2 linked regions of the Pelodiscus sinensis genome follow. The protein of the gene in region 2 binds, or shares a complex with, the protein of the main gene of each other region. Links are inferred from orthologs where the notes say so. Each region holds a gene or a part of one and is shown on either strand. Other genes may lie near its edges.

Region 1 (8,151 bases), on a different chromosome or scaffold from region 2:
ATCATTTGTTGAGATCCTTCTGTCAGTCATGCAAACTCATCCTAGGTTTACAAAAGAATACTGTACACTCTTGTGGTTCAAGCATCCACTATCCTAAGTTTATATTTAGTTGAGATCACTTCTACAATACTCCGTTATGTACTATTTAAATTAAAAAAGGCTGCAAGGCAACTATTTCACCTTGATCTCAACAGTGTAACCCACAACTGAATAAGATTATCTAGGTCTAAATAAATCAGCTGCATTTGAACCTGCAACTGAAAAAGCTAAGTTTGATGATGCAACAGAAACCAGAGCCCTCTCCCAGGGTAGTACTGACACTGCACTGAACAGGTGTAAGAAGTAACTTATCTTTGTCACTGAAGTAAATAGGGTGATTTAGGGAAAGCAAGGGGAGGGGGAGTTGAGGGAAAGAGAATCTGTTAAATAAGGTGCCATTTTACACTCTTTTACTACTTTTAGAGTAGACTTGCCCTTCCAAAAAATGGTTTCTACAGATGACACACACATATTAGAGAAGTAAAATGCACTCTAACTAGGATTCCTAATATTCTAAAAGCTTCAATATTGAAAAATTTGTATGTATAGGTTATACACGCCAAATATAACAGCCTCGGATATTTGAGGAAGGTTTTGAAACTCAGCCCAGATCTGAAGAAAAGTGTCCATTAAGCACTATTTGAGGGTAGTGAACTCTAGCTGGACACTGCACTGCTATTCATACAAAGATTGTATCTGTTTTGACTTAGCTCCTCAAATCCTCTGAATAGCAGCAATTACAAGTACTTATACTGTACAGCACCGTGAGAAACTGGCATGTTCATTCAGGCACATTTTAATGAAACACCATTCACAACTACTGCACATAGTTAAACTACTTTTTTAAAAAAATTGTCAACAGATTTTGCAAGAGTAAGATACTGAAAGATCATAAATTCAGTTAATTTGCTGGATATATAGAGACAACATGAGCTATTTTCTGATTTAAGGTCCATGCCCCCTCGTGCTTGAGATATGCCCCCAGCAAGAAAAAGAGGAGAGAGGGGAAAAAAGCATCTGCTACTCAAAAGCTAACTTTAGCCTAAGACATGATTTAAATTATGTCAGTAGTCTTCCACCTCTGCTTCTTACATACACATCTACCAAAGCTAGAATGAAAGGAAATACTTCATCTCATGCATACAAAAGCAGCAAAATACTGTTATTATTTCAAACATTTGTTCTCCCTAAGGTAACTTTGAGGCCTCCCACCAACATAATAAATTAATTCTCCCAACAGGTTTTTTTAAAAAAAACAAATCTACTCCATCATCCTAAGGGACAAGGAGGGACACCCACTGTACAAGCCATCTGTCCTCACACTCAACAAGAGGATCATATTACAGAACTACTCATCTTTGCACGTTTCAGGTACCACATGATGTAGCAGACATTTTTGTAAAGTCTATAAAGGCATAGATGCTCACCCTAGAGATGGTCAGAGGCATGTTGAAGTCTTTTCCACCTTGAAGTCTAAAACCCCAAGGAGCAGGGCCGACCAAAGACACACTGTAGTTGCTCATGGTGTTGGATGCTGAAGGACTAGTTCCAGATAATAAATGTCTGTGAAAGAGGATTACATTTTAGTGTAAATCTTAATAAGCCATGTACACAATGAAATAGAAATATTAATTTAAAAGGGGGCACTGTCAACTCAAATATATGTTGCAAATAATTTTTTTCCCTGTTTTAAAGACCTTTAACTGTTAATAATGGGCTATAGAGGTCTCATTTGTTACTAATTGTCCTATCTGCTGACTTTTTGGCCTACCAGATTAGGAAATGAAAACATTATTTACTTTCTGATTCTTAGTACTGCAATATTTGGGTTTCACATACTGCATACAGTGATTTTTTTTAATAATTGTTTTCTTTGGAGAAAATGTGGAAATTTCTCCTATGTTTTTGTTTAGAGGTTATTTAATCTGGTTTTCACAAAATGTTAAGTACTGGATCAAATTTAAATTTACATGGTTCTAAAAATTACATAAGTACATAAAAATGTTAACAGTTTATGGAAAATATGTTAGCACAGTAATTTCCCACAAAATATATTTCCTGTGATACTATTAAGTCACAAGTGCACAGATGCATTCAAACACTCATTCACAAGTAGTGTGCTTGTTTTGGTTACACATTCAAATACCAAAAACTACAAAATGTATTATCGAAAGTTATTCCAAGGGGAAAATGTTGTTTCTTGGCATTTTTGCCAATAGTTTATGTACATCAGATAACTATTTCCATTTTTATAGTAGGCACATACAAGCTATTACAGAAGAAATCAGAAAAAAAAAAGAAACAAATATGCAGAGAAAATTATGTACCAAATACCAAGGCAACTTATTTAAGAAAAAGTATTTTAAGAGAATCCCAAGATTATTTTCCCTCCTCCCCCAACAAGGATGAAGGTTTACCTTTACAAAGCACGCTGTGCACTTATCTTTGATACTGAGCAACAAAATTAACAGCTTCAGCTGCACCACATACAGGCAACATTACAATGACGTCTTAGGTAGTAGCTACCTTCTATTTTTATATTTGAAGTGGAGGGAGGGGAGAGAGCGTGCACACACTAAGGGATGGATTACTGTAAGACTACACCAGAGCAATTTAAAATTCCACATTTACTTAATATAGGAAATTTAAGATCGAACTTCAGTCAAGCAGAAAAAAGTGTGTTTCAAGCATCAAGTACTGCAAGGATTATTTTTTTAGTATGTTTACACTACAGTATACATAAATCTAATAAAATGTCATTTCTATGGGACTACTGCCTGGGAAGTTCCATAAAATGTCTCACTCCAAGCCTAGAAATGCACAAAAGTAATGAGGCAAAATTATATAGATTTCTAGATACATTTCACCAAAAGAATCTAGCTCTTAAGCCTAATTTCCATATGAAGGATCAAAGTGTAATGGTCCTATTCACACCAGTAGTTCCATTTAACTAAATAAAATAGGAATATCTGGCTACAGCATGCTAACAAGATAACTTTTAGGAACTATTTCTCCAAGCTAACAACAGAACAAGATAGTCCCTGAACTACTTACATCCTCATGCCAGAAGCTGCAAAAGGACCATTGCGCCCACTGATTTCTTACGTTTCCATCTCCTGTGCTCCCACACGCAGCTGACCAAACATAGTCCCCTGAATGCCAATGCCTCCCTACTTGAAAGGATCCTTCTCTTCTTCCTTCCTTCCCTTCCCTCCCTCACCCACACAAAAGAAAATGTCCACAGACTGAGATATGATCCTTATAGAATTTGCTCATTAGTTCTAGGAAGAACTACAATTCACTGAATCATTCTATGTACTATACACTGAATTCCATCTAAAGTGCATATTTATTACAGATTTTACTACCATGAGAAAATGTTTTGTTCTCCCTAAATTAAGTTTATCATTTTAATGTGATCTCTCAGATTAATGGTGGTGGGGAAAACAAACCTTATCTAATGCATTGGAACTCAGTTTGATCACCGGTAAGTGACATGATTTCCCCCTCTCTCCCCAACTGAGAGCAAAATTAAGCATGTGAATATTTTTCCCTGAATGGGTTAAGAGGGGGAGAGTTTAAAAAATAATTCACGAAGAGATACCAGAAATTGGTTTGTAATGGTAAAAGGAATGGTAAGATACAATATGCCTCTCTGCACACACATACCCCTTTTGGGCTTGCAATTAAACTTCTGCATCTCATAAAACTAGAGAACTTTTTTGGGATGGGGAGGGGAAGGGGAGGAGAGCTACAGAAACACCCTAAGAAAACAGATTTACTGATGTGTTTGTGCCATCCTTAAAGATTCTACAGCTAACATCATGTGACTCAAAGCCCAGCAAATGCATGGATGCCCTCCTTATATCCATGGATGCAGATATCAAGAGACATGTCTGAAGATATAAAATGTGGATCTGCATCCATCTGCTATCTAGAGCCCAAATCTGCAGATATCCATGGCCCATGTTTGCAGAGAAGAGAGAGAGGTATAAATTTGGTGTATGTGCAGGGCTCTATTAATTGAAAATGAAAAGAGAATGAAAGAATTCTCTATGAAAAGAGAATGTGCAACAACTAGCTAAGGACTAAGTTGTGAAACTCTGGTGCGGCTGAACATTCAGTGATCCTTCTTGTGTAAGTGCTCAACAAAGCATTTTGCCATCTAAACATAAGTGAGGACAGGTTAAGTGCATCATTGCCCCCTGTAGGACAGAATCAGAAATGCTCAACTGTAGGTCATACTTCCAGTAATGCTAACAGATAACTGAGATACTAAAGTGACTGTGCATTCAGGAAAATCTGGTGTTCTGCTGCGGTGAATATCCCAGTATCCCCAATGTGCAGAGAAAAGAAAAAAGGAGACATCTTAAGTGGACATGTGTTATAGTATGAAATGATCAAAAAGTTAGGTTTGATTTTGTGTGTGTACTCCGTTGAACACCACACCATTTAAAAAAAGATTAAGCCTGGGCTTACAAGTGAAACTGCTGGCTTTACTGTTCCTGCAGCTATCTGGTTACAAAAGTCCCCACAGGCAAGAGGAAATGCATGGCCATAATCAAACAATTACACACCCTAAACTTGCCCAACCCAGCTCAGCTATGAACTTTCCTTCGCAAATCCTTTCCCTTCTTCCCCCCCCCCCCCCCTTCTCCCCTCACTTTTACCATTTTTGGTGCTACTTTGTGCAACATCCTTGCATGTAAAAACTAAAGCAGAGAGTGCGGGCACATGACACCCCGACACAGGCTTGCACGGTTGGCACCTACAAGACTGACTCTGGTCCCCGTTCCGCTGGCTGCTGCTGTTTTAAGCAGAGCTCTCCAAGAGGAGCACACATCAGTTACACGGTAACCCGTAAGAGCTCGGAGCTTGTCGCTTCCCTTAACACCAACAGCACGGTCGGCTACCAAGGGGCTTTCAAGGGGGGAAAACACCAAACCAACCGAAGCCACTCGCGAAGCGCGTAACAATTCAGAGCCACCCCAGGGGAGCCTCGCTTAGACACACCCGCTTTTCCTGCAGCTTCACATCGGCGCAACTCTCCGTCCCGCTCCCCCAGGGGCTCCGACCTGCCCACCCCCCTCGGGGCTTCAACGTGAGAGAGACTGCGCCCCGCGCCTTCCCCCCGGCACCAGGGGTGGATGCGCCGCTCGGGATGGGGCTGCAGACGCCCCGGAGCTCAGGCGCCTGCAGTCGCGCTGCAGAGCTGTCCCGGCCCGGTTCCCACGCACGGAGCCCCGGAGGAGGGGAGCACGCTGCGGCGCCTCCGGCAGGTGCCCCTCCTGCAGCCTGGCTAGCGCCGCACCTGAGCCACCAGCCCCCTCCTCGGCCGCAAGTGCCTCGCCGCGCTGCCCCAGGCGGTCCCCGCCCCGGCGCTCGGCACCTGCTCACCTGGGGGCTGCAGCAGCCGCGCGGCGGGAGAGGCCCGGGCGAGAGGCAGGGAGCTCGCAGCGCGTGTGAGAGGCTGGGGCTGCCGCGTCCCGCGGGGCTTGTTTTCACTTCCGCCTCGCTCTGCTCCTCCCCCGGCCCAGGAGGGATGGGGAAGTTCTCTGCTCTGCAGCCGAGCGAGAGAGGAGGAAGCCCTGCCGGGCGGGCAGCGGGGGAGGAGGAGCGGGTGAAAGGCCAGGACAACAGAGCCAAAAGAGAGCTCGCACAGAAAGTCAGGCCCTGGCCTGCCAGCCAGGGCAGCCCCGCCCAATTAGCGAAGGGTAGGGGGGTGCAAAATACTGTTCACAGCACCTAGGGTTACCTCAGTGCCACAGACATTCTGGAATAGTGATAGAGATGTAGCCGTGTTAGTCTGGTGTAGCTGAAACAAAATACAGGACTATGTAGCACTTTAAAGACTAACAAGATGGTTTATTAGATGATGAGCTTTCATGGGCCAGACCCACTTCCTCAGATCAAATAGTGGAAGAAAATAGTCACAACCATATATACCAAAGGATACAATTAAAAAAAATGAACACATATGAAAAAGACAAATCACACTACAGAAGAGAGGTGGGATTCAGGGGAGGGGGGAAGGAAGGTGAATGCCTGTGAGTTAATGATATTAGAGGTGGGGAAGGGGAGATGTCTGTGAGTTAATGGTATTAGAGGTGATAATTGGAGAAGCTATCTTTGTAATGGGTAAGGTAGTTGGGGTCTCTGTTCAGCCCCCTGCGGAGAGTGTCGAATTTTAGCATGAATGCCAGTTCAGAGGATTCCCTTTCAAGTGCAGATTTGAATGTCTTCTGAAGTAGGATGCATGTGATTAGGTCATTGAGACAGTGTCCTTTCTGGTTGAAATGGCAAGAAACTGTTTTTTTTCTTTGTGATCCTGTCTAATGTCTGTTTTGTGGGCATTGATTCTTTGGCGAAGTGTCTGAGTCGTTTGTCCAATGTACATAGCAGATGGACACTTTTGGCACATGATAGCATAGATTATATTTCTGGATGCGCAGGAATATGTATTCTTGATCTTAAAACTCACTTGGTTAAGCCCAATAATGGTATCAGCAGAGTGAATATGTGGACAAAGCTGGCAATGGGGTTTGTTGCAAGGGAAAGTACCAGGGTTGGTATTAGTGTGGTATGTCCTGTGGTTGTTGGTAAGAATCATCTTGAGGTTAGGTGGTTGTCTATAGGAGACTATGGGTCTGTCTCCCAGAGCTTCTTGGAGTTTAATGTCCTGTTCCAGTATAGGCTGTAATTTATTGATAATGTGTTGGACAGGTTTAAGTTGGGAGCTGTAGGTGATGACAAGTGGTGGTCTATTGTTGGTTTTCTTGGGTCTGTCTTGTAGTAGATGGTTTCTAGGTATTTGTTTGGCTCTTTCAATTTGCTTTTTTATTTCTCCAGGTAGGTAGTTGAGGTGTATAAATGCTTAGTAGAGATCCTGAAGTTTCTGGTCTCTGTCAGTGGGATTAGAGCAGATGCGGTTGTATCGACACTCTCCGCAGGGGGCTGAACAAAGACCCCAACTACCTTACCCATTACAAAGATAGCTTCCCCAATTATCACCTCTAATACCATTAACTCACAGACATCTCCCCTTCCCCACCTCTAATATCATTAACTCACAGGCATTCACCTTCCTTCCCCCCTCCCCTGAATCCCACCTCTCTTCTGTAGTGTGATTTGTCTTTTTCATATGTGTTCATTTTTTTTAATTGTATCCTTTGGTATATATGGTTGTGACTATTTTCTTCCACTATTTGATCTGAGGAAGTGGGTCTGGCCTACGAAAGCTCATCATCTAATAAACCATCTTGTTAGTCTTTAAAGTGCTACATAGTCCTGTATTTTGTTACAGACATTCTGGGCACTTGCCAGGACGCTGAATGACTTAAGACGTCCAGCATTCCTATTAGTGTGAAATGCTGTATAATCATCCCCATTAGCCACCCTGGAGAACAGTCCCAAGACCAGTAATAGATTCAGCTGCAGTAGAGAGGTGGATAGTAGCAGCAGTAACGCTCAGGTGTGTGGCAGAGTTGTGCTGGGTACAGCAGGATAAGGGTGCACACGTGACTACACCATTTGTGCCACACCACCTCCCACTACTAGGACCAGCTGGGGGGCACTTTGTTCTGCCAGCAGCTGAAGTTCTGAGAGTGTGCCAGTCCTGCTTCCCTTCCGGTCTCGTGCTTATCCTACGTCAGGGATGGCAAGTTATATGGGCCGATGGTGCCCAGGCTCTGGGGATATTCCTGGCCTCAGGACTGGCTCCAGCAAAGTTTGGGGCCTGGTCTCTCCTGGGTCCCATCTGCTGACCCCATCCATCTACCCCCACATATCCACTCCCCCCCACACTGTGCATCCCACAGCCAGCCTGCTGCCTTGGGCAATTTAAAAATGATGCAGGGGCCCTCACTGCCAACACCACTGGTAGTGCAGGAGGGCTGGAGCAGCTTCCTATTTACTCCCTACATGTATGGTGGCCAAAACATTCCTATAGCCCCTGGGCTAAGGGGGCGGGAGCAGTGTCTCTATCCCCTGTCCCTGCCCTGAGTCCCCTATGTGCAATGGGAGTTGTTGATGTGGTGCTTGAGAGCTGCTACCAGGGCAGGGTGCCCCAGGTAAGTGCTTCACCACCTCCTGCACCCCCACCTCTTGACCCAG
Region 2 (7,855 bases):
TATGGGTGCAAACATTTCCATCCGAGATGGATCTAGATTGCACCAACTCAAGGTCCAAGTTGCTAGGCGGTTCTCCAGAACCCTACACGTTAACAGCCCTGAATGGGCACTGCGGTGCCACACTGAATGCAATGCCAACAGGCAGGAAAAATGCGACGCTGCAGAAAGTTTGACCTATGCTGCCTTCTCAAGTGACCCCCATTTCTTTGGCTGCACCCTCTATTTATGGAAGGGTGGTTTCCTCCATTCCCCCTTCCTCCCAGGGGCAGAAGGGTCCCATGGGCCTTCACCAAGCCACTAGCCCAATGCTCTGCTATTAACCAGTCACTTGGCAAGGCCTTTGGGACATGCACCAAGGAGGCGAGGTGCTGAGTCTCCTTTGGAATTTTTGACCAGTCGTAGCAACGGGCTCATTTGAGGGACAGAACCCTGGCCCCAGCATCCAACAGGAGAAGGGACTCAGCTCCTCGCACATCCCTGTAGCCTTGCTGCAAGGCATGAATCAGACCTGTTTTACAGGGTTAGCCGTGCCCGGATTCATTTGTGCAAGCAGGCTGATGGCAGAGTCGGGACCAGGAGTCAAGTCCTTTGACCCAGTCCAACCCCTAGTCAGCCAACCGTATTGAAAGCCAGGTTTAGACTCCAGGAGTCCTTAATCCTTGTCCCTGCTCTCTGCACCTAGACACTCAGTCACAAAAGGTCTCCAGCAGGCGGTTGTGTGACTGATAGCACAGCAAGGGGCCAAGTCTCCCTGCCTCTAGCCCACCCCTCCTAAGCATGGGCGCAGATGAACTGAAGCGCACAATGCATCCTAGGAGGGCTGATCAGGAGAGGTCCCAGGAGCATGGAAGCTTTCTCATGCTGCTGTCAGCATCCTGGGCAGGACCTGCCAGCGGAGATTATTCACCCGCAAAGAAATGTATTTTGCCTGTGTTGCAGGCCAGAGAACAAGTTTTAGGCCAGCTGTGTAATGACAGCAAGACCAGCTGGTAGTGAGCCTCCTTCCTGGACTCCCGCTGCCAGCAGGCTATAGTCCTTAAAGGCCAAGAGACCCAGACTGTACCCGTAAAGTCAGTGCCTCACCCAACAAGAACAAGTTCTGTATAACCACCTACGAGCTTGTGGGGTGTTTCCAGATGACAGGTTTTGGCCTCCTCCCCCATCTCATCCCCAGCGCTCACCAGAGTCACCACCCAGGTAGGAACTGAAATCAACAAAGACTTGAAAAGATGGTTGGAGATTCCTAACACACTGCTCCCTTTCCCCTCCTCCCCCCACTCAGTTCTCATGCACCAGCTTCCTTCTCTCTTTTAACCCTGGCCTATTCCAGGCAATCCATTTGCAGAACCCTAGACAACTGACAAAACACTGGTCTGACTGAAGATTCAGAGGATGCTGTGCAAAGGATGAACTGTGAGTAGATCTAGGGAAGGCAACATTATTATTCTGAAGGTCGAGGGTAAGGTTACCAGCAAGAAGCATTCAGAAGATTCTGTTAGTGCCTAAGCACATACATGACAAGTAAAATTCTAATTACAGCAGCAGTGCTCCAGATAAAATATTAATTTACACACACTTCACCAGTTTTTTACATTGCAAGAATGTCACATCTAATGTATAAACACCTTTAGGATTTCAAGCCCTTCCTGTTGGGTTTTTTCTTCCCCCTTTTAAAGTACTTTACAACCCGAACATGTAATCTGGATTCCAGTTTTCTTTGCAGTAGCCCCGCATATACAAACAAACAAACAAACAAACAATCCCACACCACAACCAGCAGTTAGCCCTGGTTGATCTATAAAATATGACAGAGAAAATTTACTTCAAGGTGTCCCCCGATGAAGGTGGGTAGAAGGAATCAGGCCAAAAAGTTAGAAGACCACTGCTTTTGTTGTTCATAAGTGCATCTTTCCCCCACCACAATGTACCATGATGGTTGTTTTTAAAGCATTCCAAGTTTGAAGCTGGGAAAATCCAGTACCTGCTGTTTTTATATTGTCCCTTTGGATTTATATATATAAAAATCACCAGCATTACCTGCAATTGATTTACGTATCTGAGAAACCAGTCAGCTGTAGAAGCCACCAGTTCACAAACCCCTCCAGGGCAATTAAATTTTGAAAGGGGGGGGGGGCAGAAATATGATTAAAGAAAGGCCCAAGCCTCTGTTTGTAGTTAATGGAAAAGGGAGAATAAAGACACTGCATTCTTACCTTCAGCCAGCACTTCATCCACCGTCACCTGGTATCTCCCAATATGGAACACCCTGCCAATGTACCCACTCCCTGGTCCGCTAGAACTGCCGCTTCCACTACTGGTACCAGAACCAGGGCCAGAACCCCCCAGCTCTCGACGAGAGTCAAAAAACTTCTTCATCTCCCCAGAGATATAACTGTATTATAATCAAAGGCGATGTTATTTTCCAAGGTCCAATATTTTCCCCTTCTTGATTCCAGCCAATTAAAATAATCCACTCCCAGCGGTGATTTTTGCTTGTTTGTTTTAAGTAGGGCAGATGATTTTCCCCCTCCTCCTGGCAGGCAGAGCTTGTAAGATTTAGACCTGTAATGACAGTATCAAAACAAGGGAGGGGGGAGGACAAACAATTACAAATACTTAAAAAAATCAGCCAGACCCTGGACAAAATTAAAACCCCCAAAGATGTTCCCACCGTTCCCCTAAATATTAACAGACAAATTCTTGCACTCCTCCCACCAAGCACTGCAAGCAGTTGGTTATAAAAGAATGATGCACCTCTCCCTGGATCCCTGCCCCCCATTCACACACACCTAGGAGCTAAGGGGAAGGCTGCCCCAGCCCTTTACTGCAGAAAGGCTGGACCTACCCAGCTAGCAACTTGGCCACAATGTTACCATTGCTGCAGCCGCTCTACGAGCCCTGGATGAAACACTGTTATAAGGTACCATTGCCACTCAGGGAGGCTAACAGCAGCTGATAGCCAGAGACCATTACAGGCTGAGCCTGCTCCAGCCCCCCCTCTGCTCCAGCTCCATCCAACCAGGAAATGAACTGTCACAGGAAGTCCCTGCTTCAGGGAGGGTGGGTGGAGTGGGGAGATGGTGCCTGGGTGATTTCCCATCCCCCCACCAGCTTTTTTTTAACCCCTTAATCCCCAGCATGAGTCTCCCGCCTGCAAACAGGTTTCAGGTGACGAAACAAGGCAAAGGGCTGGGAGGGGCAGGGGGGCGGTGGGGGGCTCAGATCCAGCATTAAAGCAGCAGCCCAGGAAACTGGGCATCAAAGAGTGTTTTTTTTAAACTGCAACAGACCTCTGTCGCATGGCATTCTGGGAGTGGTAGTTCTCCCGGGTGGCAGCTCCGGCCAGCTGTGCAGCGAGAGGGACTACAATTCCCATAATGCACCAGGAGAGGCGCTTGCGTGGGGGGTTAAGAGTAAAGCGTGGTGGAGAGTTTAGTTGTCACCCTTGTTCAGTGCCCCCTCTTTGGTGTGGGTTTGATTAATTAATGAGTATAAAAGCAATTTCCCCTCCTCTTCCCCCCTGCCAGACTTACAGCAGGGGCGCCTGGGAGTTGTAGTTTCTCTGGACCCCACCATGGCAGCACCAAGAGGGACAGCATCCTGGCCGGAAAAGCAGAGAGAACCCGTGAATCGCAGAACTATAGGCCTGGGAACGACCTCCAGAGGTTATCTAGTCCAGGCCCCTGTAGTGTTCTCCAGTGGACCTGATTTCCTGGCATCCCCCATCCTGCTTTGTAGGAGTTTATCTACTCAGCCTCCTTAAACAGTCAGCCAGCTGCTTAAGCAAAACGAACAGGCTCTGTTGGAATTGGGAGAGCAGGGCTGTGCCTTAGCCATGTGAGCTGTTTGCTATAGCTGCACTTTTTAAAAAACAAATGTCACTGTAACAGTCACAAATCTTCAGCGAGATGCAGGGCTTGCGATTTTTCTCCTGAGCCACGGAAGATGCTGGGGTTTCATAAAACCCCCACACCTGGGAAGCATGTAATTAGGAGAGACTATCACTTTTTTTTAAATCAAAGCTAAGTTCCTAGCCTTCATGCCGGATGGCGGCATGGCCTGATTGTGCCTCAGAAGTTCAGAAGACAAGAGGGCAAACAAAAAGAATCCAAAGTTTATCATTTTTAATCCCGTGGTTTTTAAGCCAATCTCAAGATTTTTTGTAGTTTGGCTTATGAATGTTCGGAGTTGGCAAGACTCATTATTTGTTATTCTATTATTTCTTTTTCATGGCATCAAAGAGTTGAAGGCCAGAAGGGACCACTAGATCCCCTGTGTACCAGAGGCCACTCACCAGGCTTCTGGAAAGGGGAGGGGGTGACCCTGTGCTCCCAGAAGGGGCAGGGCCTCAGGCTGTAAGAGCAGGGATGGGGGGGCAGGACCAAGGTATCTGAGCTTCATTGCCACCGGGACCACACCCCCACCCCTTCAGCAGCATCTGGAACAGCAATTTAAAGAGCCCTGGGTGTCCAGCCACTGCTGCTGCCGCAGTAACAGTGGTGGTGGCAGGTGCCTTAGGCCCCTTTGCCCCTCCCTGTCAGCAGGCCTGCCTACCATCAAATGCTGGGAGGGCAAAGGCGAGGGGGTGCCAAAGAGTACCATTTGGCCTAGGGCCAGTCCTGGATGGCTGGTCCACAGCTCCCCCCAGCGAGCCCCCAAAATTTGCCACTGCAGTAGCTAGTCTAGCTTCACAGGGCAGGGTGGGTGCTGGATGTCAGCTCTTTCCCCACTTTCTAATGCTAACTCGCAGTGTGATCCTGAGCACGTCACGTCCGTGCTCAGTGCCTGTGTTTCCTGTCTCCCACCCTGTGCTTGCCTCTGTTTACACTGAAAGCTCCTTGGGGCAGAAGGTGTCTTACAGCACCTAAGACGGGGCAGATCAGCCCACCAAGCCTTTGGATTCAGCCCGTGGGGGGCCATGTGGGGTGACTTTGCACGCACGCCTACACACACATACACCCCATGCAGCACAATCATCGCAACTCCTATTGGCTGGTACAGAGAGTCATGAGGCACCCGCAGCCAACTACTTTGAGTGGTCTGGGACTGTGGCAGGCACGGAGTCTGCCTGAAGTTCCCGCTGGGCTGCTGGCTGGGAGCTGTCAAGGGTAAGTGCCTCCTCGCCAGAGCCTGCCTCTGGTACTTTGCCTCATCCCATATCCGAACTCCCTGCCCTAGGTCACTACTCAAGAACTCCCTCCCAGACCCTGCACATCTTCCTACACCACTCCCACAGGCCAGAATCCTCTCCTGCATCCATACCCCCTCCCTGACTATGCACCCCCTGCTGCACCCCAATCCCCTGCCCCAGCTCACAACCCCCTCCTTTACCCAAACTCCCTCTCAGACCTGCATCCCTGTTCCCTAGCCCGAGCTCCCTTCTGCACCCAACCTCCATCCCAGACCCTCCATAGAAGAGGCCGGCCCTTGACCACTTACCAAAATCTCAGAGTGGCTCCCAATCAAAAATTATCGCTCACTCTGGCATAGGACAATGGGCCCCAATTTTGGCTGAAGCCTGAAATTTCTCTTGTCACAGAAATAACATCAACACATTACTAACCTATTCTTCTCTGTGTGCCAGTCTGGTTCACCAGGCTGGTGAGGGGGGAGAGTTTTTAGGGTTTGTTTAATGTAAATAGAAGCTTTGGCCTTGGTCTGCTGGGTCACCCTTGGTCAGGGGTCACCAACCAGTCGATCGGGATCTATCAGTAGATCTTGGAACCTCTGACAGGGGATCCTGACGGGTTTGGCCGGGAAACTCTCAAGTGCTGGCACTTCAGTTGCCCCTCCCCCACTGTCATGCTGCTCCTGCCCTCTGCCTTCGGCTGCCCCTTGGAAGCTTCCTACTTGCTGTGCAGGGTGTGGGAGAGAGAAGGGGGGGCTGATGTCAGGGTGTCCCTCCTCCCCCCACTCCTGTACCCTGTATCCACAGAGAGGGGGGGATGGAGGGAGCTTGGCAATGCAAATCTCTGTCACGCCCACGCACTGTGTGTGTCTCTGTCACTCACAAACACACACTGTCCTTCCCTCTCATCCCCTGACCCCACACGTACATGGGGGGTTGTTGCTACTTTTACTGCTGGCAAAGTGGGTTCTGTTTAGTGTTTGACTGGACTGTGCATTTCGTAACTTTCATTTCTCTCTTACACTTAAATTTAATTCTTCGAGTACTAAAATGCCAAACTGGTCATGTCTGGAGTAATTATCCCTGGGGTTGGTTGTGCTCCTGGAGGTGGCTGGCATGTCTGCAGCCCCCTAGGGAAGTCAGAGTATGCTGTCCTTGTCAGTAGGCACCACTCCTGCAGCTCCCATTGGTCAATGATGGAGAACTGTGGCCAGTGGAGGCAGTGCCTGTGGATGAGGGGCAGCACATGGAGCCATTGCTGTACATGCCAGGTGCTTTGTGGGGGTGGGACAGGGCCTGGGCTGTCTTAGTTCTACTGTGTTATTCCTGGGCAGCTGTCTAGCAAGACTTGAACCTACCCTGCTAGGCTCCCCAGGAAACTGCCCTATCCCCTAGACCATTCCACTGCCCACTCTACAGCCCTGCCTTCAGAGCGTCCCTAGTCCTGTGTCTGGTCACTCCCAGGGTGGGCAGAGGGGACGGCTTGAAGGTAGGGAGGTGGAGTGGGATCTCCAGTGAACTTGGGGATGGGCATTAGCCTCTGGAGCACAGGGTGGTGGGCTCCGTGCCACCCCCTCCACCCACTCAGGCAACGGCTGGGCTGCCAACACAGGCTGCCTGAGGGGTGGAGCTGGCTCTGGATTAGGAAGGCAGGATAAGGGACCTGCTGAAGGTAGAGGAGGAGGGGGAACAGGGCTCTGGAGTGGCTTGGAGAATGGGGTATTTGCCTGGGGAGCACAGGATGGTGGGTTCAAGCCCAAGTTCTGCTGCTGGCAGCTCAAGAACTAACCCCCCCCCCCCACACACACACACACACAGAGGGAGGTGGGCTGGGCTCCCAAGTGGGCCAGGAGATACAGCACTTGCCTGCAGAGGACAGGGCTGTGGCTTGGAGTCTCCATTTCACCCAAGCTGCACCCATCTTGTGGCAACCAGACAGCCACCCCAGGGTCTAGGACCCACCAGAACTGGGTGGGCTCAGCCCTGGAGTGGCTTAAGGGATAGAACATTCCCCTGGAGAGCACAGGGTGGTGGGCTCAAGCTCTAGCTGCCCCAGGGATGGGCCAGGGTCTGGCAGGAGAAAGGGACCCCTTAAAGGCAAGGGGGGGGGGGGTGGACCCTGGAGTGGCCTAGGGCAGCACCCCTCAGCCAGCAGTACAAGTACCCTTAGGGGTACCCAAAGGACAGGGGGTGCATCAACAACTGCAACTTGGAGAAAACTCAACTTTTATTTTAAGTTTTACAGCTTTTTATTATTTTTCTACTTTTTACCAAATATTTCATCAACTACAATTAAATTGTTAAACAAATTGTGTGCAAACTGTAGGTACTGGGGGTACTTATTATTCTTTTTTTGAAAAAGGGGCACTTTATAAAACAAGGTTGAGAAACACTGGCCTAAGGCATTTGCCACACAACCAAGACTAGAGCCTGTACCCCTACCCCAGCCTGGTGAAAGTGAATACGATGCGGGGAGGAAGGGCAACAGAGCGAGCAGGGGGAGGCGTCAGAGAAGGGGTGGAGGAGGGGCAGGGCCCCAGAGATGGGGGGATGGGGGGGAAGGAAGCCAGGCAAGGGTATTTGGGTTGGGGGTAGATCTTACATTGCATTTAAATTGAAAAAGTGATCTTGTGGTTAAAAAGGCTGGAGACCCCTGCCCTTGGTGGGGCAGCTGTCCCCAATGGACACTCTGCAGGAAGCTCTCCCCTGCGGTCTCATATTGCAGCC

The links.
Region 1: the proteins of AAK1 (region 2) and PDLIM5 are in contact, whole or in part, in a crystal structure (PDB 9F6S), measured with the Homo sapiens proteins. The link is inferred for Pelodiscus sinensis from reciprocal best matches to the Homo sapiens genes AAK1 and PDLIM5. Residues at the interface, in NP_055726.4 of Homo sapiens: Asp956, Leu958, Ile959, Asp960, Leu961; in NP_006448.5 of Homo sapiens: Ala12, Pro13, Trp14, Gly15, Phe16, Arg17, Leu18, Phe24, Gln67, Ile70, Lys71.

Annotation. Positions count from the first base shown.
Region 1 is NC_134715.1:19,389,177-19,397,327, reverse strand, and holds the start of PDLIM5 (PDZ and LIM domain protein 5), read right to left. Parts: upstream 3,248-8,151; 5' UTR 3,102-3,247; coding exon 3,094-3,101; intron 2,597-3,093; exon of another isoform or gene 2,457-2,596; intron 1,603-2,456; coding exon 1,467-1,602; intron 1-1,466. UniProt on the Homo sapiens protein: May play an important role in the heart development by scaffolding PKC to the Z-disk region. May play a role in the regulation of cardiomyocyte expansion. Isoforms lacking the LIM domains may negatively modulate the scaffolding activity of isoform 1.
Region 2 is NC_134738.1:1,521,463-1,529,317, forward strand, and holds the start of AAK1 (AP2-associated protein kinase 1), read right to left. Parts: upstream 3,139-7,855; 5' UTR 2,790-3,138; intron 2,563-2,789; 5' UTR 2,377-2,562; coding exon 2,214-2,376; intron 1-2,213.